Linked DNA regions of Drosophila melanogaster. The protein of the gene in region 2 interacts with the protein of the main gene of each other region in a pairwise test. Each region holds a gene or a part of one and is shown on either strand. Other genes may lie near its edges.

Region 1 (4,012 bases), on a different chromosome or scaffold from region 2:
TTTGGCATTGTGTCTATCTTTTGGGACTCCAGCCTCTGGCGTGCTCGCTCCACAATTGAAGAAAACGAATACTCTTGGCAGGCATCAGATGGCCAGGTGGTAGTGCTTAGCTGGAACCTGCGATACTTGTCGCGCATCGAGGGTATATCCCGAAATCTGGCCATCGAGCCCATGTCAACAGTTTGGAGCGGTTCGGGCAGGAAATACTCGGGCAATATTTTGACTTTGCTGAAGCATTTGCTAGTTGGATTGCGAGCAATGTACTGCGGTGACCTGAAAAGATATGGGATTAATCATGGAGAATTTAAGGTGATCCGTATAGTCAAGACTCACCCTTTTATATCATCGCAGTTGATGACAATGCGCTGCAGTGCTCGTGATTTGTAGAACACCAATCCTCGGCCGCTTTCGCCCCTTTCGTAGATCTGACACGTGACCCCATACAACTTGTGTGGGTTGTCCTCCGGCGGCTGCAAACGCGGGAAGCTTACACCGAAGATCAGACCGTCCAGACCGGGCATATCCTCGTCAAACATTCGGCCGTCGATCATGAAGGGAAGCACCTCGCCGGGAAAGAGGATGTGCTGGTGCAAGAAGATGAGCATGTGATGGACGCTGCCCACCTCCAAGTAGTCCACTCCGGGCACGCGACTCAAATGATTACCGAAGTATGAATGCTCCGCTGGCAGATTGGTGTCAAAGCCAATGTCGATTGGTGGTCGAGGTGGCTGCTGTGGCGGTGGATCAACGGGCTGCTCGGCAGCCTCCTGGCTCGTTTCCTCGCTTGTGCGACTGCGCCGTCGCTCCTGGCTAAAGACCATGCTACGCACTCGCTGTAGGAAGTTGTCCCCACTGAGCAGTGCAGCGATTCCACCATCCCGATTGCGGGCTTGCGAGACCATCATGTCTACGGCGGAGCGCAGTCGGTTCTGCGGAATCATCCAATGGGGCAGGCTCTCCAGATCGGAATCATCTGGAAAGGATGGAAAACGCGGGTTAAGTAGGAATGTGCAGCACAACGATTGTAAGCCAACTAACCTTCACTTCCTGGACTTTCCAGAGACATGTCACTGCTGGGATGACTGCCCTCGCTTGCTGTGTCGTCCTGCAAAACGTTCTCTACCATGGCCTCAAGTGCATCCCCTCCCTCACCATCGGTGGCCAGTGGATCTTGGAAGGCATCTTCTGCCGGCGGTGACGGCTCGTCTGGCATTGCATTGTTCCAAGCCTGTTCTATCACGTCTACCTGCCGATCCTGGAGCCCCTGTGACTGTTGGTCCTCCAATTGCACATCTTCATCCCGTGCTTGCACAGAATTGATTTCTGCGCAGTTTCATATGATGAACATATGTTATTGGGAACATTTGGCGAGTGCTATGATGCTGCCACACCCACCTGAGTTCTCCTCTTCGTCCATTTGAGCCGTACAGTGTCTTTTGTTGCTTCGTTTTGCAGGTGAATTTTATATATATTTATTTGGTTTTTATTTTGACAAAGGAAAATAAGAGATGGGAGCTTTTCGATAGTTAGCGATTGGCTAACCAGTGCTAACCAATAATGGCAACATTTTGAAAATGTTCGGTAGTTGGGCGCCAAAATAGACTCGTAATGCTTATCGTTCTATATAACAAATTATTCGATTTTCAATTTTAATTTCTGATACACTTAGTAATTTGGTAGTCCACAACTCATAGGAAGACAATATAACTAAGCATTACTTAACAAGGAGTTCTTAATCCAATATTTCAAAAGCAAACGTAAGTGTGCAGATATTTTTTTTAAGTTTTTCCCTTTTCTCTTGGCTTAAATTTATATGATCAGAAAGTTATTTTTTTCAACTCATCGATAGAAACAGCTGAGCATTGATTGAGTATTGAGCATCACTAGCAAGAGCGGATGTAATCGGGAGAGCAATATCAATTGGAACTGGCCCTTATTGGACTATGTTTTAATTTCACTTTGTTCTGCTTTTCTGGTTATTCGCACTAAACTTCCAATTGGAATATTGGAATATTTCCGAGAAAACGTAAAACAATAACATAACTGGACCCAACTAAGATCGTTATCGTTATCGAAGATCTTCGTTTCCCATTGATTAAGATTAAGTCAAGATTGGCCAGCCTCATACTTGTTTGAATTGCCGTGAGTATCACATGAACAAGTGATTATACGGACAATGATCAATCCCCAACTTTTGCTGATCGCCGCGCTTATTGCGTTTATTGGGAAAGTGGCACACGCTCAAATCGCCTTTGTTGAGGATCAAGACATTGATAAGAAGAAGGCCAACCTTGCGGTAAGCTGCAGCCAGACACAATCCACATTTGTGATAAGAAACGCCAAAATGGAAGAGAAAACCCAGCCGGAACTGGGCAACATCTTTCGCCGAATACCCTTCCCAATCAGAAGTGAAAGTCGTTGGAGTCCAATTAGGAATTTTGTGTAGTGACCAATGTTCAAAAACATTTCATGATTGCTTTGATTTTAAAACTAGCTTAAGGTTCTAGTTAAATAATTATAATAACAGACTTTTAATTGTATGGATACTGTTGAACGTGATTGAAAAATTTTTTTTTTTGTTAAAAATAAGAAATACATTTATTTTATCACTGTGGTGACTTTGAGAGTTTCAAACCTTTAAACTTCTAAAGTGTGTGTTTGAAGTGAATTTCAAAATACGGGGACTGTTTTGGTAGTGTATGCAAGCCCCATTGGCAATAATCAATCGAATTCCTGCCTCACACCCCTCCGCTTTCTCCTCATCAACAGGGTCGCAAGCCACTGTATTCGCCAGCCCGATGCCCCAAGCACCAGCTTCTTTATCCGGGGGACCAGCAGAAGCAGAACGACTGGGTTTGCGACTGCGCGCCAGGTGAGCGGTCATAATGGAGCTACCATGGCGATGACATAATAATCTCCGTATGGGTACTTCCCCTTCGATAGCCACACTGTATTACCCGGAGACCGATGGCTGCTATCCGGCCTACCGACAGGGACCCTGTGAGGCTGGACAGATTCTGGTGCTCTACAAGGAGGAGATCATCCCGAAGTGCGTACGAAATCCATGTAACAGGGACGGACACTTTATGATTCGCGACACATGCTATGAGTTCGGAAACACCAAGAAGGAAGAAAACCCGTGTCCTTACCAGGAGGCTTCCTTTGTACTTGGCGTGAATCCCACCAACTTGATGGTGGACTGTGTGAAGCTGTCCGTTCAACTGGAGACGCGTATTTCGGACACGGAGCAGGCTCCGCCGGAATACTACGTTGATTTGGCCGAGAAATGCGCACGCGGCAGTCGCCTAATGGCTCAGGGAAAGTGTCCTTAAAGGATTTTAACATTATGTGCTTAAATGTATTGTGTTCTGTTTGGTAATGTGTGGAGGCCAGTGAAGAATAGCGAATTTGTTCCATGTTTAAGACAGATATAATATGATTACATACCATTTCTCAAAATGAAGGCAATTCTTTATTTTTCTTGCACAAGCAAAACGCTATTATGTACAACTAAGAACTGGCTTTCCTGCGCCTCTTGACGGGAGTGGTGGCGGGTACAGGGCTTTCTTCTTCGATAATTTCATCTGCTTCGGCATCATCCTCTTCTGGCAACGTGACGCCATCCTCTAGGTTTGGTTCGTCATTGGCAGTCTCCAGCTTGAGCAGCGCATTTTCCAGCGAGGCGAGGAAAGAGCTCTCGCCGTACTCCGGCCACTGACGAAACTGACTAAATAGCGTCAGAATCTGACTGGGCAGGAGATCTCCGAACTGTGTGTAGATGTTGATGCCGGGATAGTAGTTTCTGGTGCTCATTGTAGTACTCTGGCACGAGTACTGTGGTAGTTTCTTGGGCAATTCATCTGGATAGATGGGTGTTACGGACTCGGAGGACTTCGGATTAATGATAAGCCGAGGTCCACAGCCGGGAACCCACTTTCTACACAAATAATAATTGAATTTATAAAAATAACCCCAGATGATTTGATTGTGTTACCTACTCTAAATTGGGTAT
Region 2 (7,661 bases):
TGCCAGTGCCGTTCGTGAAACAAGCCGAGATAGTCACAGAAACGCTCCGGAAAGGAAAAGGCTACCCAGATGTGTGACTGGTGCTCCTGGTGGTCTTTTGCCATTGTATTCCAATCGCCAAAGCAAGGGGCAGCAATATCTGTACCTAATCAATCAAAAGAACTTTTCGGAGAAGATAATTTCATATGAACCCAATCTATGGAGCGACAAGGAGGCTAGATTGCGCTTGCTGGTTTCTACAGAATACGTACGAATCTTTTCACTAAGCGACGCCAATCCAACCATTATGTTTGAATGTCATGTTAGTGAGATTCTTTCGTGCCATCCAGTGGTAACGAATGCCGGCACAACGCCAACCACGAGCAGCAGGGCGTCGGCCAGTCACTACATCGAGATATCAACCAATCTTCCAAAGATTACCAGGCCCAGGATACGGTGTCGTTCCGAGGAATGTGCTGAGGCAGCATCAAGATGCGTAAGTAGAAATCATCTTAGCAGAAATTAGTAGAAATTATCTTTCAATAATAAACTATTATTGTTGAAGCGCAGACTTTGTTTATCATATAATTTATTTACTTTTACAAATTTTGAAATGATTATCACATATATTCCATACTTGTCTTTTTCTTTTAGATAAACTACGCTAAAAGTGTCTTTGATGAACGTGAACATGCCGTTTTATAAAATGCAATAGGTCGGTTCGTGATAATAAACAAAAACCTTTTGACAACAAATGTTACATTTTATTTTCTTTGGCAATAAGTGCTATTTTAATTTCAAGTAGTAAGTAAAATAAACATTTAAGAAATAATGAACCCACATACTATGGTGTGATATAAATCAAGGATCAAAAAGCGATCGACACGGAATACTATAAACAGATATTACGGATTCATTGTAGGATAAAATGACCGCAGTGTAAATATTGTGTAGATATATTATTTGTCATGACGGGCATTAATACAAAAAAGAATGTTTGTAAAGTTAGTAACATTAATAAATATGGTATTTAATAATCGGCATTCTTGTAATGCTCCTTACGAAACGATGAGAGTTTTAGTCGTTGCATTTGGAGAGCTTGTTCGATTTCGAGTACTTTAACATGAATTTCCATTTCCATCGTTTTAATCTGTGATGGCGTTAGCTTAGAAAGTTCTATTTCACTCTGCTGCTCCAGCTGGGAGTTGCAATCCTTCACGGTGGCGACCAGAGTTCCTGTTGCCTGCGTTACGCTTCGCGAGGCTTTTGTGAGGTCGGTTAGCTTTTGACTATTACGTTCAGCCTTGACTTTGCTCGCAATAACCATTTGGGTCGTGCAGGCAGCAATTTCTTGGGCAGCCACAATGAGTTCAAAGTTCTTGCCAGATTCACTTTCAATAGCCTTGTTTGCAGCTTCCACCAGATAGTTGGCTGCCTTCGCCACACTTTTCGAGGCGGATATCAAACCATCTGACCACTGACTGTTCCGCCTATAAAACTCATTAGCACTCGCATTTCCTGAAAGAGTAATTACTTGTCAGTAACTTCATTGAATTAAAAAATATTGTTAGCTACCTTTTTGGGAAGCCACGATTTCGTGTTGCAGGAGACGAGATTTTTGGATTAGAGCTTTGACACATTCCATCAAGGTGGTACACGCATCCACTATTTTTCCGTTTACCTCTAAATTGGTTTGGTTGTCCTTCTCTCGAGCCTTTGCCAGTAGATCTGTAATTTTGGAGGCTGCATCATCAATCGCAGCGTCCATCTCGCGAAGCTCGATTTCGAGCAGCTTATCTAAATCAATCTTCTGTTCAAATGATGCCTTTATTTTCTCAATCAGCTTTTCAATATCTCTCAGCTTTGTTTGTATATCAGTGATTGTTTTCTGTCTCTCGGGTTCTTTTGTTTCATTATTTAATAAGTATTGGAACAATTGACAGATATCGGTACATAACAAATTTGTTTTTGAGAAAATTTCTGCAAAATAAGTAATACAAAGTTAGTTTGCTGTAGGTGGTTATGTTTTTAGTGTTATCAACTTACCCTGACCTGTCTCAATTGCAGTTGTTGTTTTGTAGATAACATCACATTGATCGTATAGTTTTATAAATACATAACCCAGATACATAACATTTTGCAGTCCTTCGGTTGAAGCAACATAGTTTATAGCCGATGCGTTATTGAACTTATTTAAAATGGTCTCCATTTCGCGTATTATGTTTGGCACCGCATCCAAAGGCTGTTGTTCCGATCCGCTCAACTTCGAATTGCATATTTCCTTTACAGTCTTGATCACCAATTTTCTGAGTTCACTCAAATCGGTACTACAGATTTGGTACGAACTTGTCACGGCATCAATTTGCTGTGTTGCTTGGGTTAGTTTTACCTCAGTAAGCGAGAGTTTGCTTTGCAAATCCTCGTTACGCTGACCCGCTGAAGCATTTTCCTGCCTCAATTGATTCACAATTTCCTGGGTTTGCTGAAGAAAGAAAAGCAGTTTCTATAATTTTCTTGATTTAAATTGGTTTCATTTACCTGTAATGCACTCTCATTTTGCTCCAAGTTGTTTAAAGTTAGCTGCAATTGAGCATTTTGTGCTTCGCTGTTGTTTTTATGCTCTATACCTAACTGCTCTATTTTAGTTAATAGCACTGATTTTTCCGCTTCAAATGCCTTTAAATTGTTTTGAATTTCCAATGCCTTTAAGCTGATTTGGCTTTCTGCGCTGGACAGCTGAAGCTTAACTTCATTGAACTCTTTATCCTTTTGTTCCAAGTTATCCATTATTTCTTGCAATTGAGCGTTTTGAGCTTCACTATGGCTTTTACTTTCAACACTCTGTTGTTCAATCTGAGTTAAGAGCAATGCCTTTTCCGCTTCAAAAGCTTTTAGCATTTTCTCGATATCCTCGGTCTTTGCATTTATTTGGCTTTCGGCGTTCGACAGTTTTTCCAGGGTGTCATTGAGGTTTCCATTAAGCTCTTCGACTTTGAGGCAATTTAGCCTCAGGTTTTCGGAAGTGGAAATAATATCGAGTTCCTGAATTTCCTTTTGTTTAACCACATCATCGAATTTCTCCTTCATCTCGTTTTTGACTGCTTCAAGATGTGCTATTTTCTCCTTGTGCTCTTCGATTTGCTTTTGCAGAATCAAGTTTGTTTTCTCTTTTTCCTCTACGTTTACTTTAATTTTGGAAATTTCATTGGTAAGCTCCTTAGTTTCCAACAATAGTTGTGAGTTTACTTGTTTCTCTTTATTTAAGGACTTGTTGCAATCACTTTGCTGATATAAAAGTATATGAATGAATATTAGTATAGGAAATAGAAAATATTGTGTTTCTGCATACCTCTCTCAGCAGCTGAATGTGCTCATCTCGAATCTTTGTGTATAGAGTTTTAAGTTTATTAAACTTTTCCGACGACAACTTGTGCTTTTCTTCTTCCTCCATAGCTTTTTCTGAAATACAAGGTATTTTTATATGACTTCATTATGTTTAATAAGCATTTAATTACGTAAAAGAATTGGGTTCTGATTCAGTTGCATCTCAAGATCGTCATTTTGCATCCGAAAGGTGGCACACATTTCTCTCGCCAAGACCAGATCATTTGACAGCACAGTATTGTTCTGTTGCAACTCCTGAACGTCGTGTCTGTAGCTTTGCTGCAGTGCGTCGAAATTTTTTTGCATTGCGTCCAATTTGAATGACAGCTCCTCAATGCTAGCCTCTTTCTCGCTGATTATACCCTCCAACATGCTAAGCTGCTGCTGGGCTTGACTGAAGGCTTCCAGCTCGTGATTGTTGGTATCCACAAGGTCTTCAACAACCGGATCGGGCTCCTGGGGAACGTGAACCACTGGCGGTACATAACTGGTGAAATCGTTTTGGGACTTGAAGTTAGGACTTGAGTCCGGCAATTCCGGGATTGTTATTAGGTCCTTGAAATACTGAAGCGGTCGCACGTTGTTGTAAAAACTCTTCAACTTTAAAAACAGACCGTGAAAGCGATCTCTGTGTCCGGAAACAACGTCGTATGGTACACCATCGTGTAGTTTAAACATTAACCGAACGCTTAAATCGTACAACGCATTGGAATCCTGGATAAGGCAAACTATTGGCGCTAATCTACATTGTCCCTGCGGTGTCATCGACGACATTCTGTACTTTTCCATAGATGAAAATATCGTCAATTGCAGCGCAATTATATCCTCCAAGTAGTCGAAAATTTCCACGCACAGTTGAAAACTGGAATCAATGGTTCTGTCTCAGTAGTTTGAAAGTAATATATATCTATTTTTACTTACCAATAATTTAAATCCCTATCCACAGCAATGAAGAGTTCCGTGAACGAAATGTTCAGGGTGCCGGGAAACATTCGATTTTTGTCGTGGAAGTTTAATTTTGTGGCCAAGAGCTTACTATACGCCTGTATGCAGCATCCAATATCGTCCTGCAGCAGGCCCCACATTTTTCCCACCTCCAGTATCATCTTCTTGTGGCTCTGCGAGTGGCGGATGGCACTTTCATGACCCTCTCGCAGGACCTTGTGCAGCAGATGCGAAAACTTCCAGGCAGTAAATCTACTCTGCATCAAAGGCTGCCGGGAGATGATCATCCAGAATGTTTTGGCCTCTTTGGCCTTGTGTATCATAATAATAATGGAGCGGGCATGTTTGGTTTTGAGTGGCGCTTCCAGGCCATTTAAAGCTTTGGACACGCTGACGTTCTGAAATGAAATGTAAATATTATAGTTTAAATGGCTTTTTATTGTTGTACACTTTCGAAGAAGTGACTGACTCAGCTTATAAGATATGGACGGATTTTGGCGGACGATATCTATAGTTTTATACTTTTTAGTGGAATTCGATCTAAAGGGGGTGACTCACTGATCGACTATTTAGTTTGGAAGTGCAAACATTTCGATGCTTTTAAAAATAAGATTCCAAACACCTACACCATGTGTTTGATATGAATTTATGATAACAGAAGGTAATCTAAATACTGGATTTCACTTCTTATCGTGCCGAATTTGGGTTGATAATCAAAAAATTTGAAAGGCCTTTGTGTGCACATTGAACAATTGATCAAAGTGGATGTAGTCCGCATAGCATTCATTGCAGTTTCTAATTTTCTGGGTCATCCGAAGCGGAGAAACTTGGGATTAGCATGTAGTGTAGTCTCTGTGGTGTTGCAAGTCGTGTGAAAAGCTGATGATATTTCGAGCTGTTCCATATAATCTGGTTCAAGGCTGACTTCTTAAGTGAAATGTTTATGCATATTTGAGCGGCGCGCCTGTAGTTGTGTGCATAAACATTTAGGTATTTACACTATGCACATGATATGACAACATCCGTGTGCCTATAATCTGCTGTGGGTATTCTTGGCGGTTTTCTTGGCTTTCCTTTGGGCTTACGTACCAGGTGGTAGAACTCCTTTTCGGCGTGAGTTGCCATTGTTTACTGACAATTCTTGGCGTACTTGCTGAACAAATTCGAATCATTCGCAGCGCGATATATGTGCATTAGAGCAAAGACAGCAAAGACATTGGAAACGGGAGTTATCTTATCTTATCAACAATGTTGGCCATTGTTTTCGTATTGGTCGCGTTCGTATTCATTCGGATTCCGATCGTGTGCGTGTATGAAACAATGAGTGTAAGAGTAAATTAGTCATATAAACAAATGTTGTTTTCCTTTATCGATAAAAGTTAATAGAGCTGGGCGGTGTTCCGATATGCGGGCTTTACCCTATCGATTCGTTTCGATAGTCATCAACTTCTTGCATCACCATTTTGAGCGCGAAAAAAAATGTTTTGCAAATTTTTATTTTTTTCCATTAAATCGAAGGATATTTGAATTGAAATACACTTAAATGAACCAATATTTAAATTATAACATCGAACGCTTTCAATAAAACTTCAGTTAAGTTAAAAATTTAATTTAATTTGATTTTATACGATGGTTTAAAAAAAAGCTTTAGAATGTGTTTTTGAAATTTTTGTGTACTGATTTTCTAAAAAGATAGATTTTGTTCGATATTTATAGATCTGCTACCATATTTTTACTTTAAATAAAAGAACGACAATTTTAATTTGTTTTTAAAGTAATTTTAATTTAATGTATTCTTCCAACTGTTTGGATTAAATTTGGTATTCCGATTGATCATAGTAATCCAAATGTACATTTTGCTGTGGCCAAAACATCTCGGCTGGGTATTGGTTTTGTGGTGGAATGTAACGTCGATTGGGATCTGGAACGGATGTCATCATCAGTTGCGGATGATGATATTGATTGCTATAAGGACAAGCGTGGTGTCTGAAAGTAGGATGCTGTTCTCCGTGAACAAAATTTGGCTGCAGTGAAAATTCCGGTGGCTGGAAGTTGGAATCCATGCGTGTTATATTATACTTATTCACGGTGCGTTCATAGAATCCATCTGGAAGCATTCGAATGTTCTCTTTTAGTTGAGGATTGTAGTCAGGGTTTCTGGCCTGAGAGGAACTTGGGTCTGAAGTATGTACAGATTCCTGAAAATGATGATAGGATCCATGATCCGGCTGACATTGTTCCTTCATTTGAAATTGATGCTGCACGGCTGGTGCTGAAGCTGGTGACTTAGTGGGCATCCACTGATCCCGCGGATCTATAAGGTACCCTTCATCGAAAGGAGTGACATTTTGTGGAGCACTCACAGAGATCTGCGGTTGTAGCATATGATCCGGTGGCTTCGTAAATCCTTGATGGAGACTCGGAGGAAGACCCGTGTATTGATAAGGACACGAGTTACAGGGCGGTCGTCCACAGGTCTGGAGTAGAATTTCCCTGTTACAGGGAGTTCTTGTCTCTATAAGAACGGTGTTCCCATTGATATTTGCCTGGTTTCTGATCCCAGCACTTTCACAACTACGAAGTTTTCGAGGTTGCATTAGGGTTACCGTTTCCAGTGTTTCCACGTCAGTCGATGTATTGGGAGCTAGTAATTGGGAGTTCGGAGGTGGATCTGTCCAAGTTAAGTCAGTAGAATACCCAGAAGCTCCAACCATAGCTGAATTATGCGACCCGTCCTCGTTTTGATGACTATCGCGATGGCTTTGGTCACTATTATTTCTATCACAAGCTAGGTATTCATCTTGTCTGTGCTGGTCAGGATATTGGCTGCTGGCCGAAATGAATCTTCCGCCTTGCGAATTGTTTGAATCATTTCTTTGAATACGTCTAAGTACTGGGTAAGATGTTTGGGATGGGGCTTTTCGTCTATTTTCTGAGGATGGTGGATTGTTACTCAAAGAATCAGAAACGCCTGGATGATTCTGCAGATTCCTATTTCTCCTTTCAATAGATTGCTCTGCTGTATTCGTTCTAGTAGATGGCGAAGAAGCTAGAACAAATACACCGTTCATTTGGCCAACAGAAGAATTGCAGTTTCGATTCTTCGTCCTTTTTGTTTTCTGGGTTTGTAGTCGAACGTGTCTTGTAGTCGCTGGTGCCATTTGAAATTGATTGGTATTGAGTCTGGTGAAGTTTAGACCAAATTTCCTCCTGAAATATGTTTGGATTAAAAGTAAGAGATCATAATTGTCGGAAAAGAAGAACACTCACAATTGTTTTGGCTGGGAAATGCCCAATTCTTCAGTGCTGCTCATACGAAATGGTACTTGCACCATTGGTGGCTTTTCTCTGGA
Region 3 (4,833 bases), on a different chromosome or scaffold from region 2:
AAAATGTTTTCATTTGGGAATGGACCCGGTGTTTTCGGTGGTCTCGTTTTCGTGCAACTAAAGAAGAAATCAGAATCAGGTCAGCGACAGTAACGGCGGTACCAAAAACTTGAAAGTCACTTTAAGGCTGCCACACAAAGCCGAGAAGAGAGCAGATGAAATAAATGTTAAGGTCAACATGGAAGGAAACCGAGATATGCTGCCCGAGCGTAAAGGCGGGAGTCAAACCAACAAGTCTCGAAATATTCACTTTGTAATTGGATGCTGTCGTCTGCTGCCTGCTGCATACCTTTATAGCCCAGTCGACCCTCAACAAAACCATACCAACGAACACCCACCGCCAGCGGCCATAAAAAAGGAGCTCAGAATGAATGCACATGGGCTTGTGTATGTGTACACCGCGAGTAAAAGTGCTGGAATCGAAGTGGGGTCCTTCAAGTGAGAAAATCCAAAGCGATGCAAGACATATTACAGAGAAAAACATAAATACTCTCCATATAATATTCCTTTAAACCCCAAGGAGTTTCCAAATCTTAAATATTTTAAAGTTTACATTGTCTAACCTATCTTGCAGTGTACCGGAGCCCAGCACTCTTAAATCAATACTTTTATTGTGTAATTTAAATCATTCAGTTTTCACCCAGTGTATTCGTATCTGTGAGTCTCCGTTGTTCTTCAGCGTTGTTTTCTTTCTTCACATAAAGTCGGTTTGCCTCTGTCTGTGTGTGTTCAGCCATTTTTTGTAGCCCCAAAGTTGAAGCGAATTGTCGTGTTTGTTTTATAGTTATTGCTTTTGTTTCGCTTTCGCCCATCGCAGTGCTCTATTGCCCAGCTTTTCCTACAGCTTTCTCCTTTTTTTCCCTAGCACTTTCCATTTTTTTTTTCATCCTCCTGCGGAGGAGTGCGCTCTTCTTGTCCTTGCCCCTCCTCCAGCTTATGCACATTTAATCTTATGACAGCAAAAATGTTGTAAAATTGTTTATGGCACTTTGCGACATGGTCAGTATTTTTACAGTTTACAGTTTACTCCTTGGGATCTTTTCATTTCGTACACATATGTTCCGGAACTACAGGAGCATTTACATGTTGCTGCTGGGCGGGAATGGGATTTGACGGATGGAATCTCGTGACGAGTGGGATTACGTGGATAATGGATGGAGGAATTGGGCAGCCGTGCGCAGGACCTTTGCAAAAAGCGACGAACTTGCAGGAGTGAAGAAAGTCACCAATGACACTTTAATTTCTTAACTGCATAGCATTCTTTTAATCACATTTCTCAGCTGTAAGTAGTTGCACTTAATTAATGGATACAGATTTGGGAATTGTGAGGTGAGTAAACTTAAAAAGAATTTTAAATGCACTCTGCCAACACGAAATATATGCAATTAAGAAAATTGCTTTAAAAGTAGCCAAATGACCATTTTAGTTTGTAATGATTTTTGTCAAACTTTAACTTTGCTAAAGAAATTATTTAGTTTATTCAAAACTTGCAGTAGTTTCTTTCACTTTGGCAAAACTTAAGCTTCCACAGAAACCCAAATTCATTTTCAATCAAGTTTTCAAAGCTTAATCTCCTTTATTAGTTGATGGCAAAGCTCTTAGCAAAATAAAATCATTGACAAAACTTAGCATACCATTTAATAAACTTCTAAATCAGACTATCCTTCCAAGTGGTAGAAATGAAGTGCCACATTCATTATTTTTCATTCGTTCTACACTGCTGTGATTTCAACTTACCAATTTCGAGAAAATGTTGGCCTTATCTGTCGTCGACAACCTGTTGGCTGCTTTTTCCCATTCACTTAAACGCTTTTCCTCTGATTCCGAATCTTATCTCTATTGTTGCCGCAATAATCAGGCGAATTTCATAAAATTCACTTGGCAAACGATTTGGTTTTCGTGTCAAAGCTCTGTCCAGTTCAATTTGGTATATATTTTAATCGAAATATATTTGCCAAGCTGTCTACATTTTGCTATATACCCGCATTTATTTGTATACGTTCCTTGTGTGGCCAGCAGATGTTTGTTAGTCTCGTTTTTGTTGTCGTTTAAATCTAAAAATTATTATTAGTAATTTGTTGGTCTGCAGACAGCGTATATCCCTCTCTCTCTCTCTCTTCTCTTTCAGGGGCTTTTCTTCTTCTATCGTTTTTGGGTGAAAATTGAAATTGGCTTTCAGCGCCTAAGAATTTTTATCACGATAATTTATGATTGGAATATGCGTGGTCAGTTAGCACTAAGTAAGTACATATATAGTAGACTCTCTCTTGTTAATATGGTATAGTATAGCTATAGTTCTGTCGAAAAATATAGTGTATTCCCTCCTTGTTCCTCAGGCTTCTTGTGTGTTGTATTTTTTTTTTTTTTTTGTTGCGAATTTTGGTCAGGTTATCTCTTTGTGTTATTGGGCTTTTCGGGCACACTTAGTGACTTGTAGCTTGGGGAGCTCTCATTATGGTCACGTTGAAACCGTTGTGGCACTGGCCCAGGCACACTCCACGGCGGAACGGGTTCAAATTGCTTGATTGCATTAATTATTCAGTGCCAACGTCGACGTCGTTACATCTACATCAGCGGCAGCAGGCCGCGCGCATGCCAAAGTTTACTTATGTAAATGCGCCGCGGTAGTCAAATAAACACAGAAACAGAAACTTTTCAGAGTTACAAGTACACACGCGGAGTGGCGATAGTAAAAATTTAAAGCATACTTTTCAGGTGAGCTGCGCTTTGATTTGCATCCAAAAACACAGTTAGCGCGCACACACACGCACGCACCAGGACTTAGGTGGCCAACACGCACACACTCGGACAAACCGACCAAACGACCAACCGACCGACCGACTAACCGAAATAGAAAGTACTGTGCTGGATACTTGTTGTTTCAGCGGCACGAACACCTAACTACTGCCACACTTGTTACGGCCTGGAGTTCAGTTCAGCTCAGCTATTGTTCAGCTGTTTTGGCTAAGTCTTTATTTGTTTGCCGTGCTGCTCTTCCGGCCAACATCACGTCCAGCTAGCGACTGAACAGTGGTTCCAAACGAACGGCGGCGACAACACTGCGTATACGCAACGTCCACAAGTCGGCTGCTTTATTTTCGGAATAGCTTGATGCGGCTGCGTGGGCAAACGAAGAGAAAGCAACTGGGAATTCCAAAGAGCGGGCAGGTGCTCTTGGCCAGAAAAGAGCAGTTATGGGAAGGGAATCAAGCAAGTGGTTGGGCCCTAAGCAAAACAATTGCCATGGAAGTTAATCATTTGGTGCCGATGGCGGTGTGAATACGGAATTCTTTATATACTAATTAATTGCATTACTAATGTATTATTCGACCGGCTCATAATCGAATAATGGAACTTTTTGACGTGAAACAATTTGTTTGCACAGCCAAGTGACGCGATACCGTACACATTCAGGTCAAAGGTTAATTTTTGTCCCTATCTCCCGACACATGTGAGGCCATTAAATAGCAGGACCAGCAGCTTGGTAATGTGTTATTAGAGGGGAGATGCGGCAGGATGGTAGTTGCCACAACAGAGGACAATTAATGAAGCAATCCACGAAGCAATCTGTTGCACTTTTGCCACGGCAATGCACGTAATTAAGTGTAAATTAAAACCAAGTTAACAGGTTAGAGGGCGAACGGAATGCAACGAATGGTGAATGTTCTAAGCGGAATTTTATTGAAATAAAATACCTCATTGAAATCCTCTACCAACATATTTTAACTTATTACTATTATTACAACTTTACAACAATCAGGGAGGGCGCTATAGACGAGTTCTTCGACTACCACATACCCTCTACTTAGCAGGGGTGATGTAAATGTGAAAGAGATTGCAACTAATTAAGTATAGTTATTTTAAAAAATTAGGCTTTCTTTAAATCGCATTAGTGAAAGAAGCTGTTCTCGTCTAATAAACATGGCTAAAAATAGGATTACCCGTTTACCCATCTAAATAAACGGTCAGCTAGAGCCATCTTTATGCTTGATCGCATTACAGTGATTATAGAAGTTGTTTACCCCAACCGCTAACCGCTGAATAGCTCCAAGAATTTGTTAGCCAACCTGGTCCTGTTTGCTGCCCATGGAATCGGGTTTCGCGCGAAGGTAGCGCAAATAAAAGAAACAAGCTTAAGCTCCTTTCAAATACCGTTCAAAGTTAGCAGAAAATCGATGCAATCGAAGCAACAGCAACAACAGCAGCCAACACGAAAGGACATCCGATTCGCAGTGGGAGATTTCGAGGAAAAGGCGGTGGGACAGAGATTATCTCGGTTGGAAAGTGAGAAAAGTTTTTAATTAAAATTCACACGCAATATGTTGCGCATACGCAGCGTTGCTCCGCCACCATCTTACCACAAATTCCTTGCTCATTAGCGTTCAAATTGTGCGCATATCATGTAATTTAGATTAGATTGAAATTGAAAATGTTAAGCGAACCAAGTGGCTGTCTCCAGCCAGCCATCGGAATTTCCAAGAGGGTTGATTTTGATTGCGTGGTCGGGGGAATTATTGCGGCTTTGGCTAAGCTCCTGCTAGAGAGTCCAACTTATAAATATTAATAAAGCCAGCAGCGTGGATCCTTCGTCCTGCACGGGCACATTCGTCAAGTAAATGAAGTCGTCATGAATGAAGCGGCCAGCAATAGAAACAAAATAAATAACTTGTGTAAAAATTCCATCAGTAAATTGTGGTCCTGCTCTACTCTCAATTTTTCAAGAGGTCGACAAGACAAATGGCTGATCAGCTGGAAATGTTTACATTATCTAATCAAAAATTATTCTAAAACATAGTTTAAAATCTATTTTTATTTATTTGTTTATACTTCATT
Region 4 (3,516 bases), on a different chromosome or scaffold from region 2:
TGTGCGCTATTTTTGATTCTTTGGAAAAATCCGCTAGATAACCGGGAAAACAGCTATAAATATCTATTTCCTACTGAACCTAAATGTCTTTGTAGAGCTATAATTATATAGCTTATTTTCAAATTTTACCTATTTCTCTTTAAATTACCAACTGCGTGACCATTGAAATTCACAAGGTTTGGTATATGACACATTTCCTGAAAAAAATCACTTCTTAATGATATTGAGCACCGAAGAAATTAGTTTACATAATTTGGAACAACTGACCCTTCGATGGGTCGAGGTTATCAACTATAGCAATCTCCCTTGTTTTTAGAATTAATTCAAAAAAAATTTGTGAAATGTATGGTTTTTGGCTACCGCTTCTAATAAGATCACGTTTTAAACATCTTACTTTTACTAAACTAGAGTCTTACGTTTTTTTTTTATAAATGACCTATTTTGAACTGTAACCGTCAATAAACTATGCTGACTTAAATAAGCAGATATTCTGCATATTCTTATCAAAAATTATTACCAGAATTATTGACCTGATTGACTGCTTTATAGTTTATCTGCCTATATTTATTTGACTATATTCAATTACAATGAATTCCTAAATTAATCTGTAGCTCGCAGTTCCACTCGCTGTTGTCGCAGAAGCTGTGGATGCGCCCTCAGGATGTCACGTTGTTGACGGAGGTTCTTGATAATTCCTGGCAAGTGCCAGGCGTGTCTGAGCAGACTATCTGTCACATCAAAATGGGCATGCCGCACGCAGCGTAGTTGGGAGCAGTGCGCCACGGTTCGGAGGTCCAAAGCCATATCGTGCACTAGCGTAGCTAAGTACTCCTGCGTCTCGTTGATGGCGTGCAGTTCCAGGGTGAAGTGCGGTCGATCGAAGTGAATCAGCTTAATGCCGTAGACGACGGGCTGACTGTCGTCCGCTGGGCGTAGGAGACCCCTACAGGCCAGTTCATAGGCCTCCTGGGTCTGCAAATCGACACCGCAGAGCTCAAACATCTTACGCTGATGGGATGCCTGCATGGAGGCGGCTAGACTGCTGATCCTGTCTGCGGACACGTGTCGGTGATTGGAGCGCATTATGACCCGTGAGTCTGGTAGGTTATTTTCGGTTGCGATGCCTAGGTGCCCGATTAGATGGTAGACCCGCACTGGTCGATTTTTCCGAATAGAACTAGACTGGCCTGCTCCCCTGTTGATCCCAAAGACTACAAAAGTATGGTTAGATCTGGATTTAAAATGTTTTACATGACTTACGCAGGACTCCGCTGGTGTGATCGCCCAGGCTGGACACTGTGGTGCAGATCAAGTCTCGCGGAAGGTACCGCGGTCCGGTGGACAGAAGGTGGTCGGATAGATCCGTCTGCTCTCCTATGTTATGTAGTACGTGATCTGCTGCAGTGCCTGTGCCCAGGAGGCTAATGTTCTCTTGCAACTTGCGTGGTTTCCTCTGCTCCATTTCGTTGAGTCCTTTTGCAGATCTGTTTTTAATTTCAATTTGTTCTTTAAATGGCGCTAGGCTTACCCTTGCAAATGTTGCTCAGAATAGCATTGCGCACGTGTTTCACCTTCATACCGGATGGCTTGTACACATTTAGAATGCCATTCATGTGCTTAAACACTGTGGCGGCATCATAAACTTTGGTGAGAGCCATTTCTGCTTTAAGTTACGTATGTGCGCTATTTGTTTTTAAATTCACATGACAGTGTTGGTGAACACACACGAACAGCTGAGCACATGTGCTGCCCAGTACTGAATAGGGTATAGACATGCACTTGAAACTTAATTTATAAAATTTACATATAAAATGTTGTTTTCAAATATCTCTTTAATTTTCTAAAAAAAAGTTTAGTTGGAAATAATTCTCAAAACGTTGTGGTCTTTATACCCGCAAAAAAACATGCTTGTATCACTGCAAAACAAGAATTAAGTCCACCGCACGAAAAAACAAGAAACAAATCCGATTGGGCTAAAATTTTCTATAAATTTTACAAATTTCACGGGAATATTCTCACTGTGGCTTGCATACTATTTGCTTGCATTTAAAATGACAACAAAACTGCACTTAAAGAAGTTATAATCAAATAAAGTCTTATGCGTATCACTATATTCTCACAAGAGAAGTGGTTTTCAACGAAAAAAATGTTTTAAACTGGTAAACAGCAAACTGAAGCCTAGTGACTACCCTAAATGTTATTAAAATATCGGTGGCCGTTAGATATCGATATAAACGATAACATCGATTATTAAGCATATGTCTTTTACATCTCTATTGCACGTGTAGGATTTGTTTTGACCGCACGAATTTGTATAGCCGCATACCATTAATTCACGTTTTAATCGCAAGTATTGAGAGAAACCGCGTCTTGAGATGAAGTGGACTACTGCAAATACCAAACATGTAAACTACACGGCGAAGCACGAACTGTATGTGGGAACACACACGGGCTCCTTTAAACGTACGTCCGCTTGTTCTTTATCGAACAGCATAATAATAATGACTTCAACTTTTTAGACCTGGTGCCTGCATCCGAGAAGACCCCTTATGGACAAAGCAACCTGAGTGATCTGTGCGCCCTGGATAAGGATTCCCGCGTCACATCTCTGGCCTTTGGCAACGACGATCAGACGGAGATCCTTCTAGGCCGGGCCAAGGACGCCGTGGAGATTCACTCCTTCACAGAAAAGGGACATTCTAGGAACACAGTATCCTTCAATGCTGCGCCAATTGTTGGTCTGGCCCGATACAATGACAAGCTTATTGCCGGCATTGGCAACGGAGAGATACAGAGCCTGGAGCTAGAGGCGAACGACGAGTCCGAGCCCGTGGTTATCGCCACGGGTGACCAAATGGACCACCTGCGCCAGTGCGCCCAAGTCAAAAGCATTGTAGCAACTGGCGGCAAAGAGCGTCAAAACAATCTAAAGGTCTACGATTTAAATGCCGACGGTAAGCAGATTTTCACCTCGAAGAATTTGCCCAACGACTATCTGCAGCTAGAGGTTCCGGTTTGGGACAGCGATATCGGCTTTGTGGATGGGCCTAGTGTACTGGCCACTTGCTCGCGAACCGGCTATGTTCGCATCTATGACACGCGTAAGCAGCGTCGACCTGTTGCATGTTTTGCCAGCGAGGAGCACGGGATGAGTTTTACGACTTTAGTGGCAAAGGGAAACTTTATTTACACGGGTACCACAATGGGTGCTCTAAAAGCCTTTGACACTCGACGCATGAAAACTCATGTGCATACGTACAAGGGATTCACAGGCGGGATAAGTGACCTTCATTTAGATGCCACCGGTCGCTTTCTGAGCTCTGCAAGCCTAGACCGATACGTTCGTATCCATGATTCCGAAACCACAGTGCTGCTCTACCAATGCTACGTGAAATCAAAGGCCACTAAGATTCTTATCCGACCGTTTGAAAACGAGGCACGAGTAACAGAAGAACCTGAGGAGGTCGCTGACCTTCAAATGGATAGAAACGTGAGTGAAAATAAGAGCGTCAACGC

Evidence for each region.
Region 1: the proteins of Hip1 (region 2) and CG12811 interact in a two-hybrid assay, tested with the Drosophila melanogaster proteins (one large-scale study listed by BioGRID).
Region 3: the proteins of Hip1 (region 2) and Stacl interact in a two-hybrid assay, tested with the Drosophila melanogaster proteins (one large-scale study listed by BioGRID).
Region 4: the proteins of Hip1 (region 2) and CG7849 interact in a two-hybrid assay, tested with the Drosophila melanogaster proteins (one large-scale study listed by BioGRID).

What each region holds. Positions count from the first base shown.
Region 1 is NT_033777.3:10,046,701-10,050,712, reverse strand, and holds CG12811 (uncharacterized protein), read left to right. Parts: upstream 1-1,915; 5' UTR 1,916-2,176; coding exon 2,177-2,296; intron 2,297-2,769; coding exon 2,770-2,872; intron 2,873-2,943; coding exon 2,944-3,332; 3' UTR 3,333-3,461; downstream 3,462-4,012. Other genes in the region: ohgt (ohgata), read right to left, coding at 1-273, 334-973, 1,039-1,323, 1,396-1,417; mtTFB2 (mitochondrial transcription factor B2), read right to left, coding at 3,511-3,937, 3,999-4,012.
Region 2 is NT_037436.4:12,767,878-12,775,538, forward strand, and holds Hip1 (huntingtin interacting protein 1), read right to left. Parts: upstream 5,697-7,661; 5' UTR 5,434-5,696; coding exon 5,398-5,433; intron 5,343-5,397; exon of another isoform or gene 4,867-5,342; intron 4,707-4,866; coding exon 4,285-4,706; intron 4,226-4,284; coding exon 3,495-4,225; intron 3,439-3,494; coding exon 3,329-3,438; intron 3,265-3,328; coding exon 2,518-3,264; intron 2,462-2,517; coding exon 2,026-2,461; intron 1,960-2,025; coding exon 1,555-1,959; intron 1,498-1,554; coding exon 1,010-1,497; 3' UTR 685-1,009; coding exon of another isoform or gene 634-684; 3' UTR 555-633; downstream 1-554. Other genes in the region: Vps13D (vacuolar protein sorting 13D), read left to right, coding at 1-475, 634-684; CG32106 (uncharacterized protein), read right to left, coding at 6,120-7,518, 7,579-7,656.
Region 3 is NT_033778.4:15,399,288-15,404,120, reverse strand, and holds the start of Stacl (Stac-like), read right to left. Parts: upstream 3,026-4,833; 5' UTR 1,738-3,025; intron 1-1,737.
Region 4 is NT_033778.4:6,075,118-6,078,633, reverse strand, and holds CG7849 (uncharacterized protein), read right to left. Parts: upstream 1,725-3,516; 5' UTR 1,659-1,724; coding exon 1,529-1,658; intron 1,474-1,528; coding exon 1,261-1,473; intron 1,212-1,260; coding exon 601-1,211; 3' UTR 546-600; downstream 1-545. Other genes in the region: l(2)k09848 (lethal (2) k09848), read left to right, coding at 2,376-2,463, 2,520-3,516.